2 linked regions of the Diceros bicornis minor genome follow. The protein of the gene in region 1 interacts with the protein of each later gene in a pairwise test. Links are inferred from orthologs where the notes say so. Each region holds a gene or a part of one and is shown in the gene's direction. Other genes may lie near its edges.

Region 1 (7,846 bases):
TGCTCTGCAGTGCCTGGGACACAGTAGGTACTCAATAAATACTTGAATAAGTGAGTGAACGAACAAACGAACAAGCCCCTGAACAGAAAGAGGGGGCTGGGAAAGTGCCAAAAACTCTGCAAAAACAATAAAAAATGACTCAGAGTTAGAAGATGCTAGAACAATGGTCTTAATGATCCCTTTCTAGAGTAACCCAAGAGCTGGGGAGAGGGAGGCAATGGAAGAGAAGGACAACAATATTTATTCATTCCACAAACATTAACTAAGCATTTATGATGTGCCAGGTGTTAGGAATAAACTTGAAAAGACATTGCTCCTCGCTTATGGAACTTAGTGGAAGAAACAGACTCCCAAAACTGTGAACAAGTAAATAAATTAAATTAGAAAAGTGAAAAGTGCTATGAAAAATGAAAGAGGAGGTGAACACTGGGACCCTCCCTTGCTTGGGTGGGCCTGACTGAGCTGAGGCCCCAAGTCAGGTGAGAGGGTCAGGGAGAACGTGCCCTGCAGAGAGAATGGTTTGGACTATACTCCACTCCCCCTCGCCAACTGTACCAGCCAAGAAAGGTTTAGGAGCCCAACCTTCTTGTGCTGTTGGAAGAGCATCTAACTGGGAGCCCAACTGTGCTGTACATTGGAGTCATCTAGGGAGCTATTAAAAATCCCAACCTCCAGGCCATACCCCATATCAGAATCAGAATGACTGGGGGTAGGAGCCAGGCATTAATATTTTTTAAAGATCCCCAGGAGATTCCATTGTGCAGCAACATTTGGAGATTATTGACATAAACATCTTTTTAATTGTGGTAAAATAAACATAACATAAAATTTACTTTTAACCATTTTTAAGTGTATGTTCAGTGGCATTAAGTTCATTGACATTGTTGTGCAACCACCACCACTATCCATCTCCAGAACTTTTTCATCATCCCAAACAGAAATTCTGTACCCATTAAACAATAACTCCCTATTCCCCTCACCCGCCTTGGCAACCATCATTCTACTTTCTGTCTCTATGAATTTGGCTATTCTAGGTATCTCATAAAAGTACAATTGTACAAAATTTGTCCTTTTGTGTCTGGCTTATTTCACTTAGCATAATGTTTTTAAGATTCATCCATGGTGTAGCATGTATTAGAATTTCATTCCTTTTTAAGGCTAAATAATATTCCATTGTATGTATAGACCACATTTTGTTTATCCATACACCCACTAATGGACATTTGGATTGTTTCCACTTTTTAGCTATTATGAATAATGCTGCTATGAATGTAGGTGTACAAATCTCTGTTCAAGTCTCTGACTTCAGTTCTTTTGGGTATTTGCCCAGAAGTGGGATGGCTAGGTCATACGGTAATTCTACGTTTAATTTTTTGAGGGGCTGCACCATTTTACATTCCCACCAGCAATGCACGAGGCTTCCAATTTCTCCGCGTCCTAGTCACCACTTGTTACTTTCTTTTTTTTTTTTTTGTGAAGAAGATCAGCCCTGAGATAACAATCTCTTTTTGCTGAGGAAGACCGGCTCTGAGCTAACATCTATTGCCAATCCTACTCCTTTTTTTTTTCCCCCAAAGCCCCAGCAGATAGTTGTATGTCATAGTTGCACATTCTTCTAGTTGCTGTATGTGGGACACGGCCTCAGCATGGCCAGAGATGCAGTGCATCGGTGCGCGCCCGGGATCCGAACCCCGGGCCACCAGTAGTGGAGCGCACGCACTTAACCGCTAAGCCACAGGGCCGGCCCAACACTTGGTACTTTCTGTGTTTTGTTTGTTTGTTTTCATAATAACCATCCCAATGGATATGAAGTGGTATCTCATTGTGGTTTTGATTTGCACTTTTTTTTTTTTTTAAAGATTTTATTTATTTATTTTTCCCCCAACGCCCCAGTAGATAGTTGTCTGTCATAGCTGCACATCCTTCCAGTTGCTGTACGTGGGACGCGGCCTCAGCATGGCCGGAGAAGCGGTACGTCGGTGCAATCCCGGGCTCCAAACCGGGGCCGCCAGCAGCGGAGCGCACGCACTTAACCGCCAAGCCACGGGGCCGGCCCTGATTTGCACTTTAATGATTAATAATGTTGAGCATCTTTTCATGTGCTTATTGGACATTTGTATATCTTCTTTGGAGCAATGTCTATGCAAGTCCTTTGTCCATTTTTAAATTGGGTTGTTTGGTTTTTTTGATGGGTTGTAGGAGTTCTCTATATATTCTGGATGTTAATCCCTTATCAGATACATGATTTATATGATATAAACATTCTTAAATGGTACACTAATTTGAAAGGGGTGGTTGCATTACAGTAACTTTTTTTTTACAAAACAAAAATGAAACACTCATAAGGAAAAAGACTGGAAGGATATACATCAAAATGTAATCAATTATCTCTGGTTAATACAAAGAATGATTTTTTTTATTGTTTTTTCCTCTGTGCTTTCTATACTTTCAAGTTTTCTGCATCAAACATGTATTATTATTATTATTTTGGTGAGGCAGATTGGCTCTGAGCTAATATCTGTTGCCAATCCTCTTCTTTTTGCTGAGGAAGATTAGCCCTGAGCTAATATCTATGCCCATCTTCCTCTATTTTTTATGTGGGACACCGCCACACATGGCTTGATGAGTGGTGCATATGTCCGTACCTGGGATTCGAACCTGTGAATGCCAGGCCACTGAGCATGCTAACTTAACCACTGTGCCCCCAGGGCTGGCCCCAAATGTGTATTATTTTTACAATTAGGGAAATTATCATCAAAATTATTGGTATTAAAGGTAGAGTCCCAGCAAACTTTTAAAAAGGAGGCTGTCGTTTTCAATGTAGTTACAACACTTATCGGGGGTCTCCTATGCACCAAGTATTCTCCAAGTTTCTGGTCTAGTAGATAAGCACCAGGCAACACAGTACAGCGTGGATGGGCTCTAATGGGGAACTCAGGACGCACAAAGGAACCAGAGGGGGCTGCCTCACCCACTGGCCAAATCTGGGACAATTTGAGGATTAAAACAAATAATGATAGTAATGAATTATAATCCACTCTACAAAATAAGAATCCTTTGAGTCCATACTGATAATAAACAAACAAACAAGTATGGGATAAGGAAATGCTCTTCCTCACAATAGAATGCCAACGAAATAAATGGAAAAGTAATGATCAATTTAGAAAAGTCATTTTACTCCCATCATAGTAATGATTGATTCAGGCAAGAATCATAAATAGATGCTAGAATTAGTGGGTCCAAATTTGATGAGGAACAGGATTTCAGATCAAAGTATCTCCCTACAGATTGCTTACTAATTACAAAAGAAAAATAAAGGTAACTTTACAGTAGAGAAACCTGGTGGACACCACTAAACCAAGTGATTGAAGTTAACATCACTAATAATGAGACAAATTGACATCATGTGCCTCTTGAGGCGATGTACTAAGAAGGACTAATAACATCATATCTGTAGTATTTTTGCCAAAAATGCATAATCTAAGTCTAATTATAAGGAAACATCAGACAAATCTAAACTAAAACACATTCTACAAAATAAATGGCCTGTACTCTTCAAAAAATGTTAAATGTTATGAAAGATTACAAAGGCTGAGAAACTCTCCAGATTAAAAGAGATATGAAAATTAAATACACTGCGTTGGCGCCAGCCCAGTGCCCCACAGTGGTTATGTTTGTCAGCTTCAGCAGCCTAGGGTTGGCGGGTTCAGATCCCAGGTGTGGACCAAGATACCACTCATCAAGCCGTGCTGTGGTAGCATCCCACATAGAAAATAGAGGAAGATGGGCACAGATGTTAGCTCAGCGCCAATCTTCCTCAGCAAAAAAGAGGAAGATTGGCAACAAATGTTAGCTCAGGGCCAGTCTTCCTCACACACACACAAAAATAATAAAATATATAACTATGCTGTATGATCCCGAATTGGATCCTAGACCAGAAAACAAATTTATATGAACAACATTATTGGGACAATTGATGAAATCTGAATAGGATCTGTACGTTAAATATAGTATTGAATCAACGTTAAATTTTTTATTTTAATGATTTTCCCATTTCTGATTTTCTGGTTATCTAAGCCAATATCCTTCTTTTTAGGAAATACACACTTAAGTATTTATGGGTAAAGGGACATGATGTCTGCAAACTACTCTCACATAGTTCAGGAAAAAGAATACATGTTTTATACATATGGAGAAAAAAATTAAAATGTGATAAAATGTTAATAATTGGTGTAATTGGTGAATTACAGGATTTAGGTATACAGGAATTCTTTATAGTATCCTTGGGATTTTTCTGTAAATTTGAAATCATTAAAAACAAAATTTAAAAATCACCCTTCAATCGTATCTCCACCATGTACCACCACAGATGCGATCTTAGATAAACGGTAAAATCGATCAGAACTTCTAGAAAGTAGCTATTAATACTCTCAGGGGATCATTCTTAAAAGGTAGACTAATTGACTACCTAAAAGAAGAGCTTTGTGCAAATATAGAGGGGCAAGAGGAGCTGGGATACCCCCTTCCGGACCCCCAAGGTCCCCAGACCTCAAAATGAAAGCGCAGGAAGGGGGTTGAGGAAAGACGTCGTCGTATAGAGTAGTCAGCCGAGGCCAGAGGAGCTTCAAGGCGTCAAATAGGGACTCTCCACACCTGAGCTGCCTCCAACTAAGTCAATCAGACCCGGGTATTTGAGGACGTGCCTCTGAGGCCTCAGCCTCAGTCTCTCCGACTCTCCCACCCCCTGCCGGGCTCTCCTCCCCCTAAAGGTGGACCTGAAACTTCGACACCTCGACTTCTGGGCCAGCCTCCATGGCCAGGTCCCGGGACTGCTGGACTGGGACATGGAGAAAGAGTCCTTTCTGGCCTTCACCACAGCGCACCTGCCCTTAGTGCAGCAGAACCGTGAGTCCCGGGGAAGGAGGGGGGCCGGAGGGGGGGGGGCGTGCCGGCGCGGTGGGGGGTGGGGGAGCTCGCGGGAGCGCCCAGGCCAGTGGGCCCCCCAGCCTTCGACCTCCTCCTTTCCCTGGCTGAGCCTGGTTGGCGGCGTAGAGCTTCGGGGTCCTGCGCCCCCTTTGCTGAGTCCCGGAGCCCCCTCCCCCACCCCCTCCTCGCCGAGTGGCAATTGGGCCGCCGCCTGGACTGCAAGCTCACAGAGGGCAGCGGTCCTGCCCAAACCCAGCGGCCTTCTTCTTGACCCAACCCGCCCAGCTCCGACCCAGAACTTTCTAGGCCTCTTCTCGGCTTTTCCTCCATGGCGCCTGGCGCTGTTTGGCACACTACATATTTTACTCATTTTTAAAAAATTTAGTTATCAATTTTGTTCGAGGCTCTATCCCCACCTGTTAATACATTGCCTGACACCTAGAGGTGCTCAATATTTGCTGACTGAATGGTTGACTTGTGGTCTTTAAAATTTTTTCTTTGGCCCTCAAGTGCAGAGAGCTGAGGTAATCACCTACATTCATGGTACTTCATTGCCATCTGTTTGGCAAGGTACTTGGAGTAACTCATTTTTCCCCTTCCTCCTCCACCCTCACTTCCATCACCTCCCACACGCCCATGTATTTACCCTAATCCATGCAATGTCTTTAGCTAAGTGTATCTTTGAAAACTATTTAGCATTATTTTGTATTCAGAGGTGACCTTAATTTACATAATGCTCAGCTTTTTTCCCCTACTCACATTGTTTTTGAGAGCTATTCTGGTTGCTAAAGGCAGATCTGGTTCATCATTTCTGACTGATGTTTAGTATTCTATCATCTGCATATACTTCCTTTTGCCTTTTAATTCTCCTTACTAATGGAGACCTAGATTGCCTCCTGCTCTTTGCCACCATAAGTAGTGCTGATGCACGTTCCTATATCTTCACTGATTCAAGAAATATTTATTGAGCACCTGCAATTTGCCAGGCACTGTTCTAGACACTCGTGAAGCATAATGAACAAAACTGAAAAGGCTGCGTGGAGCTTGCATTCTACTGGGGGCAGACAGACAACTCACATAAAAAATATGTTATAAGGTGATAACTGAGATAGGAGAAAGAGGAGACAGTAAGAGGTTTCTGGAATGGGTTGGGGGAGGAGGTGGTGGCAGCTATAGTTTTAAGTAGGGTCATCAGGTTGCACTTCACTGGGAACATATATTTGAGCAGAGGGCTGAAGGAGGTGAGATAGTGAGCCAAGAGGATATTTAGGGGAAATGTTTCCCAGGCAGAAGAAATAGCCAGTGCAAAAGCCCTAAGGAAGGAATATGCCTGGAGTGTTTGAGGAACAGTAAAGAGGCCAGTGAGGCTGGATTAAAGTAAATAAAGAGATTAGAGGGTGTGGAGCAGAGATCAGGAAGATCCACTTTAAGGATGTTGGGCTTGACTTTAAGTAAGAAGCAGCATGGTTAAAAGAGTTGGAGCAGAGGAGTGACATGATCTTCAGCGTCATGAGTATGCAGCCTGCTGTACAGTTGCATAGGGTGCCTATACTTGGTTTAATGCTCTACCATCACTGTCTTGAGACTTTTAATAACTTTTGAACAAAGAGCTCCACATTTTCATTTTGCACTGGGCCCTGAAATTTATGGAGCCAATCCTGCATGATCTATATTCTGAAAAGATCACTGTGGCTGCTGTAAATGTAGAGAGACTAGGAGCCTAGAAGCTGAGAGACTAGTTAGGAGGCTGCTTACAATCCAGACAAGAGATGATGGTCCAGTGGACCTCTAGGGTGGTAGCAGAGGATGTAGTGAGAAGGTAGAACTAGCTGGATTTGCTGATGGGTTTGATGTGTGGTGTAAGAAAGAGAAATTAGAGGATGACTTCTCTGAGTTTTTGATCAAGTGGAAGGATGGAGTTGCCTTGTACTGAGATGGGGGAAGCTTCTGGTAGGACAAGTTTAGGGATGAAGATCAGGAATTCTGTTCTGGACATGCTGAGTTTGAGATAGTTTTTAGATATCCAAGTAGACATGTTGAGTAAACAAGTGGATATATAAGTCTGGAGTTCTGGAGTGAGGTGTGGATTGTAGATATAAATTTTGACAGTCTTTGGTATATAGATGGCATTTAAGGAGTGAGAATAGAGAAGACAGAGAAGGACTAAGGATGAGCCCTGGGGGCAGTCCATTGTAAAGAGATTAGAGCGAAGATAGATAAATGGCAAAAACTGAGGAAATGACCATTGAGCATGAAAACTAAGAGAGTGTGTTCTCCTGGAAACCAAATCAAGAAAGTGTTTCAAGGAAGGCGTGGTCAGATGAGAGGAATGCTGCTGAGAAAACCAGTAAGAGGTAGACTGACAATTGGATTCAGCAAAGCAGATGATAGTGGTTTTGGTGGAGTGGTGGAGGCCAAAGCCTGATTGGCAAGGGTTTAAGAGTAGAAGGAGGGGAAGTGGAGACAAAGTATAGACAATTCTTCCAAGAAGTTCTGCCTCAAAGGAAAGCAAAAATATGGAGTAGTGGCCTGGCACAGAAAGTGGGGCAAAAGAAGTTGGTGTTTTTAATAAGATGAGAGAATTAACGAATGCTAATGAGAGTGAACCAATAGAGACAAAATTAATAACACAGGAAAGAGAGGAGAGTATTATTGGAACATTGTCCTTGAGAAGGCAACTGTACCAGAGAGGGAGGGAGGGAGACAGACAGAGGCACTATCCTTTGATCCCACTGAGACCGTCAATCTGTTGATCCTGTCACCCTTTCACTGCTCTCAATCACTGGATGTCCTCTCTTCTTTAACTAACTTGCAATCCCATGGTCAGATATGCTCATGCACTTGCATTCACCATCAATTCCTTTGACCCTCTATAGCTTTGGAGCACTTGCTTGGCCAAACCACAACCCTGATTAAATCC
Region 2 (7,260 bases), on another chromosome or scaffold:
GAAGATCAATGGGTAAATGCTGTCCTATTTTGGCCTCTCAATTAAGGCCTTTAAATGTCTTCTGTCCATTGTATATTCACTTAAATTTAGAAGGGCATGGAGGTCTTGATGGCAGGGAAGCCCTGGCTCTCTGCCCAGGTGATGGGAACCATCTCCTCTGCTGCAGGACTGACAGCTCCTTCAGCTTCATGGCATTCTTCTTCACCTTCATGGCCCAGCTGGTCATCAGCATCATCCAGGCTGTGGGCATCCCAGGCTGGGGCGTCTGGTAAGAGACTGGGGTGTCTGGGACTGACCCAGGGCCAGCATGGGTGGCACCTTGGGCGTGTCCTTTGCTTTCCTCTGTGTGCTAAGCTGCATAGCCTGTGGGGACACCATGAGTTATTGAAGTGTGACAGGATTCAGGATAGTGTTGTAGACACAGCCATAGCATCAGAGGGGAAGGAGAACCTTGCAGTGGTTCTTGCAGTTTTTGGGGGTGCTGAGGGGTATCAGGCATCATGGGAGAACCTGAGAGAAGGAAGCCGTAAGTCTGAGCAGCTTGTCTTCTGAGCCGTGGGGAAGGGTTCTTCCTGAACCACTGACACAGGCCCTAGATATCAGTAAGATGGTCCCTTTGCATCCAGTGATATGGTCCCTCCCTGTGACAGTGAGATGGTCCCTTGCTCTAGTGGGGTGGCTCTGGGTACCTGTCACCATGGGGGGCAGCCCCACAGCTGGCCTCTTCCTGCAGTGGCTGGATCGCTACCATCTCCTTCTTCGGAACAAATGTTGGCTCAGCGGTGGTGATGCTCATTCCCACTGTCATGTTCACGGTCGTGGCCGTCTTTTCCTTCATCGCCCTCAGCATGGTACGTGGTCACCTCAAGGGTGAGAGGGTGGATTTGGGTCTGTGATCTGTTCAAGTTATAGGAGAACCCAGAGGTCTTCCAAGGGACTTACTCTGGAATGGCTTGGTGGACTTTGCTCCTAGTGCACAGGGCACGGGTAAGGAGGGAGGACTGGCTTTTACAGTGACTTGTCTCTGGCTCCCATGTCTTTCCTGGATGGCCTGCCTCTTCCCTTTGATTAACACTGCCTTGTGCTCCTCCTCTTACAGGTTCATAAATTCTACCGGGGCAGTGGGGGCAGTTTCAGCAAAGCTCAGGAGGAGTGGACCACGGGGGCATGGAAGAACCCGCATGTGCAGCAAGCGGCCCAGAATGCAGCCATGGGGGCGGCCCAGGGTGCCATGAATCAGCCGCAGACTCAGTATTCCGCCACCCCCAACTACACGTACTCCAATGAGATGTGAGCCAGCTGAGCCTACTGGGAGGCAGGGCTGGGGGCCAGTGGGACAGGGGCTCAAGCCACATCGTCTGTTGTGGTGACCAAGCAGGGTTCCCCCTTCCCTTTTCTCCTCCCCCACTTTGTACAAAGAATCAGAGTTATATATATATATATGTATATGTATATGTATATGTCTACCCCCTCACCCCCCAACACACACCCTTTGGATTCTGCTCTCAGCACTCTAAGAGCTGTGGGCTGTGAAGGGAGCTGTCCTGTGTGGTAGTAGCTGTGTCCGTGTCCCCCTGTGAAATAGTGTGCAGTGAAGGTCTCTGTTGTTGTGGTGCTAGATGTATGTTTAGAACTAAACCAGCCCTCCATCCTCCACCAGCCTGCCCCTTCTGACCTTGACCCAGGAACCCATCATGGGGCAGGGGGAGGCATAGCAAAGAGCCTGGCCCCCTCCCCAGGGTTATGAGCTGAAACTGTTTCCACTTTTGGTCTTACTGGGAAGCAACAGTATTTAGCACTCATGGGGGTGGTAGGTGGGAGTGTGGGACAGGCAGGGGATCTTCCTTTGCTCCTTCTTATCCGAGTCTCCTCCCCCTCAACCTCCTCCTCCCCTTCAACCACCTCCTCCTCTCCTCTCGTCCTGCTGTCAGATTCCCTGTGGTCTCTTCTCCCGCCCAGGGTCTCTCTCTTCCCTATGTGGCTTTTCTTTGTCTTCCCCAAGGCTGAGTGTCCCAGTTGTATCTGCTCCTGAGACTGAGCCCATTCCCAGATCAAGGAAGCAGACAGGGAAGCTGAGCCTTAGCCCTGATGTGAGAGGGCACATAGCCAGAGATGCAGAGCCCACCTGGGTACCTGACTCCCAGGGACTGGAAATGCAGGATCATCTCCTTGACTCTCAGAGCTTGTCCTGCAGCGGCAGGCTCCTCTTTTCGCTGCCCTGCTTCCCCTCCTTCTCTTCCCAGAGACCCTTTGAGCCCCTCTGCTTATGTCCCTCCCTGTACCCCCAGCTGCTGTGGCTTGATTCTTCTACCTTCCCCCACCACGTGCCCAGTGGTGTCTGCTGTCCACAAGGGCAGATTCCACTGCCTTCCCTGAAGAGCTGGATGGTGTCCAGGCAATTTTCAGGTATAAAGGTACAGCTGGAGCAGAGGGTATGTAAATAATTATTGGTCCCTGGGTGAGGTCTGGCTGGCCCAAGCCCTCTGGGCAGGTGCTAGGTATCTCTGAAGGACCATTGGATTCCTGGGAGCAGTAGCTGTTCTGTTTGGGTCTGGCTCAGAGGGCTGGGCCTGGAGGGGAGAGCAGAGAAGACAGGCAGGGCCCAGTGAGAGGGGAGCATGCCTCTGCCACCCCAGCTTGCTCTTGGTCACAGGGCAGTTCTGGGCATTTGAACTCAGGGCTCAGGGAGAAGCACAGGCCCAATCCTGTCCACAAGCACAATGGCCAGAATGGGATTTCAGGGTAGGTGGGGTGGGAGGGGAGGCTTTCCAGCTTTTTCTTCCTTTTTTTTTTTTTTTAATGAAGATTACTTGCTCCCCTCTGCCTACCAGACTTGGTTCTTGGCCCTTCCTCACCCTATCAGAACCCCTTTCCTTTCCAGCACAGTGATTTCAGGCCTGTGGGGCTGTTCTATTCCAAGCATCGTGAGAATGTTGCTGGTGGAGGCCCTGGCTCTCTCTGAGGCCTGTAGGGGAGTGGGTTCCTACCCAAGTAGCAGCTGCCTGTTTCCCACGCCCACTTCTACCTGGGCTATTTGGCCTGAAAACGAAACCCCACTTGGCCACTCTGGGCTGGCTCCAGCTTAGAACCCAACCCCTGGGCTTCCTGGTGCCATCCTGAGCTTTGGGCTGCAGGTACTTCACTTTCCTGTAAGAGGAGCCAGGATCTCCGGAAAGTTCTCTTCCTAATGGTCCCTTAGGCTTGGGCCAGAGTGTGATTGGCTCTCTCCTCTATCACTGTCTCTCTGGAAAGCAGTCACAGCCCCTAGTACCTGAAGAGAGACCCAGGTCTAGGCTCTTCCTCCACTTCCCTCTCCCCCACCCTAGACCCCTGGCTCCCTTTCTCTTAGTCTCTCTGGTCGCTCCAGGAGGCCTGTGATCCAGCTGCCAGCCCAACATCCATGACCTGTTGGATGCCACCTCCAGTCGATCTCCTGTCCTCTCTGCCTTTCCTCTTTCCTGGCTCAGACCTATATGGTCATGCCCTGGTTCTGCCCTTGGGAAGGCCTGCTACCTGTGTGTGCCCCAGCTTGTCCAGGCCCTGGGATGCTGCATCTCCAGGCAACTATGCACTTTCCAGGGAGGAACCAGTATGAGAAGTGGGGGCTGGGCACAGATTTAACTCTGCTGGATGGTCTGGCTTGGGGGTGGGGTGGAGGAAGGCCCAGGTCAGTTCTGGGAATCCTCAGGTCTGCAGCCAGCCAGTGACCTGCCTTTGCATTCTGCTGGTGCCCACTGCTCCTTGTTTCTGGGAGACACAGACCATTCTCCAATTGGCAGTTGACCTGCCTGAGCCAATGTGTCTGTCTGTGGTAACTGAGTGAATCATAATAAAGGGGAACATTTGGCCCTGCGTGTCCTGCTGTGTCATGTGTCTTCATGTGGGCCTGTGTGGAGCTTCACCATGGGCTATGGGGCACAGAGGTAGGGGGGTTGAGTGGGTCTGTGGCCTGTCATTCCCAGGGGCCAAAAGTCACACACCTCTGTGTGGTTCTTTCTCTGAGGCAACCTTGAGTAGGCCTTGAAATTGCCACAGAGGCCTCCTGCCTGTAGGAGGAGTTCTGAGTTCCCTGAGGAGGAAGTAGAAGGCTGGATCAGTGGGCAGGGGGGTGGTTTGCAGATGGGCCCTGCAAGCAAGGGCAAGGGTGGAGCACAGAGGGCCCCACCTCAGCTCTCATCGATGGAGACTGGCAGCTGATGGAGCAGCCTCTATGGAACACAAGGGGATCCAGAGGCCTGTGGATGCTGGAGAAGGAAGAAGGCAGGGAAGCATACCCAACGTGCTTTCTCTCGCTTTCCCTTTGCCAATGCCTGTCCTCCATTTGGAGTGCTGTCCTGGCACTCTAAGTTCCTGGTCATCCTTCAAGATTCACCTTGAATGACTCCTTCTCTGAGAGGGCTTCCCTGCCTCTAGTTGTTGCTTATTTTCCGCTGCTTCCTCATGGACCTTATTCTCTAATTTTCTGTGTCCCTGCTTGTCTCAAGAGCGGGGAAGAGTCCGATTTATCTCTGTATCCTGTGCACTTAAAACATAGAAGAGGCTCAGTAAATATTCAGTATTAAGTGCCGCAGTGATGAGCACTGTGTCTGTGTGGGATAGGGGTGGGCAGTGAGGAGGTCCGACAATTAGACCAGGCCCAAGCCAGAGCACAACAAAGACCAAGAACAGGACGCCAGGGTTTGCGTCAGGATTCCTCCGAGTGGACTACAATGACCAGGAGGAAGAGAAGTGGACTACAACTCCCAGAAGGCTGCACGAGCACGTACGCTGCCGGGGGCTCTTGTATCGTTGCCTGAGTGAATCAGCGGGAGGAGTGGCCGAGGTATCGCGATATTTGGGAGCCGCCCCGAGGCGCGCCTGGCGCGGGTGAGGAGTGGAGGGTTGCTGCCGAGTCTGGGTCTTCCCGGCGGGAGGGAGGTCGGAGAGTCTTCGTTCTAGACTTTGGCTCCGCGCGGCTGTGTGGGCGTGTATGTGATGTCACTTTTCGTGTGCATGTGTGTGTGTGAAACCTCACTTTGCTATCTGTGCCCATGAAGCTCTCCTCGCGACTGTGGGTCGGCAGCTATGTGTGTGATCTGCTCGAAACCGTGTGTGTGTTGTAGGGGCTGTAGAGCCTGTGGGACCTCGCTTTCCTACCTGTACGCGTGTCGCCAGAGCATTAGGGAGCCCTGCCCCGCTCGAGCCTGAAGCGGGGAATTTGTATCTGCGCGCTCCCATCCCGGCTTTGTGCTGCTCTGCGATTGTCCAGTGCCTTTGAATCTAGTGTAAAAGGTGGCCCCATCAGTTCCCCACACCTACTGCTTGCCTGTAAAAAAAATTATGAGCCTACTTCGACAAAGGAATAGGGGCTGCCCAAAGTACAAACTATGTTTGAAAATAGGTAAAATAGAAAAACGAAAGCCCTGGAATGCTGCAATTATCCCCTAGAACCACCTCAAAGTGTTGAATGGCATTTAAAAATTAGGCCAGATTTTGTCAGAGAAAAACTTTGTGCTGTCCTTTGAAGTATTGGAGGCCTATGCCAGATGACGGGCAAGAGAGATTCCCATTCCTGGGGAAGTGGTGGGTGTGTTGGGAGCAGGGGTTTTCCACATCTCTCCCAGTGGCTGAGGTGTCAGTACTCCGTTGCTCCCTCGCTAGTAGCCCGTGTGTGTGAACATATATATATATCCTGATACGTGGCCATGAGGAGGGCTGCCTAACGGCATTACAGGAGCAGCAGAGTCAAGCATGCTTGCCTCTCGTTTGAGAGACGAGCAATCTTAGGAGAATGCCAAGGCCTGGAGCTCTCCTGAAGAGGTCCTTGCCTTTCTTTTGGGGAAGGGGTTTAAAGTGCCCCTGTGGCCATGGGACTCCTTTTAATGACTTTGGATTGGGGGGCAGGGTGACACTTTAGGGAGCTACAAGCGGTTCATTATTACTGGGACAGAGAGTAGGCGGTGTTGAGTGGTGGGAGGTGAGGCCAGAGCAGAAGTCTGGGGCCGGTAGTGAGGGGCTTTGTCATTAGGCTAAAGGATTCAAGCTCTTAATGGATCCTGGATCCCTCCCCATCCCCCTACCCCCCGCCCCACACCCACACCCCGGAGTTTGATTCTATCTTGTCCTAGGCCCCAGCCCCTCCTTCCTGCGTTGGGCTGGGCTCATACCCTGTCTGGTCCTTTTTTAGCTCTAGTTCTGTCCTGGCTCCACAAGTGCCCATATTGTGACTGGCAGGTATTCCTGAAACTTTTACTTAACTCTGCCCTAATTAAACTCTTTAGAGAAGGAAATTTACACATCACAAGCCTGCCACAAGCTGGGGCTCTTTATCTGGCCCTGTCTTTTTTTTCTTTTTTAATTAATTTATTTTTCCCCCCAAAGCCCCAGTAGGTAGTTGTATGTCATAGCTGCACATCCTTCTAGTTGCTGTATGTGGGACGTGGCCTCAGCATGGCCGGAGAAGCGGTGCGTCGGTGCGTGCCCAGGATCCGAACCTGGGCCGCCAGCAGCAGAGCGCGTGCACTTAACCACTAAGCCACGGGGCTGGCCTGGCCCTGTCTTTCTAAAGGAGAGAGAAGCTGCCATTTTTCTGGCTGTGGCTTACCTGCATGGCTGGTGCCCTGGGAGCTTGAGGCTCAGTAATCACAGCCCTATGACCTCTCTGCCTGCCAACTCTTTCTGCTACTTAAAAGTTCCTATGAGTCCAGCAGAGCCCAGGGAAATAAATGAGGTGCTGTCTACAGCTACCTTGGCTGTGCAAATAGATGGTTCTAACAGGAACTGGATAGAGTAACAGACTTCCTAGTTTGGGATTTGATCTTTTTTGAGAGTAAACAGAGAACTCCTACGGGCTGTCACTCTCCATGGAACTGTCAGATTGAACCAATTTGACCTTGCTTTCAAATGTTCATTAAATTATCCACTTTCTATTCCTCAAGTGCATATGTCTCCCCACCCCACCCCCACCCCTTCTAGAAAGGTAAATAGGCTTTGGTCCTTAGCAGTGCATGCTCAGTAGGCTGAATCTTGGGCTGTACCATCTACTGTAGGGAAGTAGTTGAAGTTACCAACATGGATTCCTGCCCCAAGTTTAACTGCTTTCAGTAACCTATTCCTTAGAATGAGATCAGCTTCATGTGGCGGAGGTTCAGGGGCTGCGGAGGTGAAATTCAGCTTCTGGTTTTGCAGGAATCTCCCTATCCTAGCACCAGTTGGCTAGGGTGGGACGGGGTCAAGGTTTGAGATCTGGCAGGTAGGTTTCCCTGGAGAGTCAATGTGCCT

The links. The genes of interacting proteins can lie anywhere in the genome.
Region 2: the proteins of FOXR1 (region 1) and PPCDC interact in binary tests that used the Homo sapiens proteins (3 or more experiments, as listed by UniProt). The two-hybrid records come from large-scale screens. The link is inferred for Diceros bicornis minor from reciprocal best matches to the Homo sapiens genes FOXR1 and PPCDC.

The regions. Positions count from the first base shown.
Region 1 is NC_080746.1:18,002,992-18,010,837, reverse strand, and holds the start of FOXR1 (forkhead box protein R1), read left to right. Parts: upstream 1-4,829; 5' UTR 4,830-4,844; coding exon 4,845-4,905; intron 4,906-7,846. UniProt on the Homo sapiens protein: Transcription factor which acts as both an activator and a repressor.
Region 2 is NC_080744.1:67,901,086-67,908,345, forward strand, and holds the start of PPCDC (phosphopantothenoylcysteine decarboxylase), read left to right. Parts: upstream 1-4,248; 5' UTR 4,249-4,866; intron 4,867-7,260. Other genes in the region: SCAMP5 (secretory carrier-associated membrane protein 5), read left to right, coding at 167-268, 734-851, 1,100-1,294. UniProt on the Homo sapiens protein: Catalyzes the decarboxylation of the cysteine moiety of 4-phosphopantothenoylcysteine to form 4'-phosphopantotheine and this reaction forms part of the biosynthesis of coenzyme A.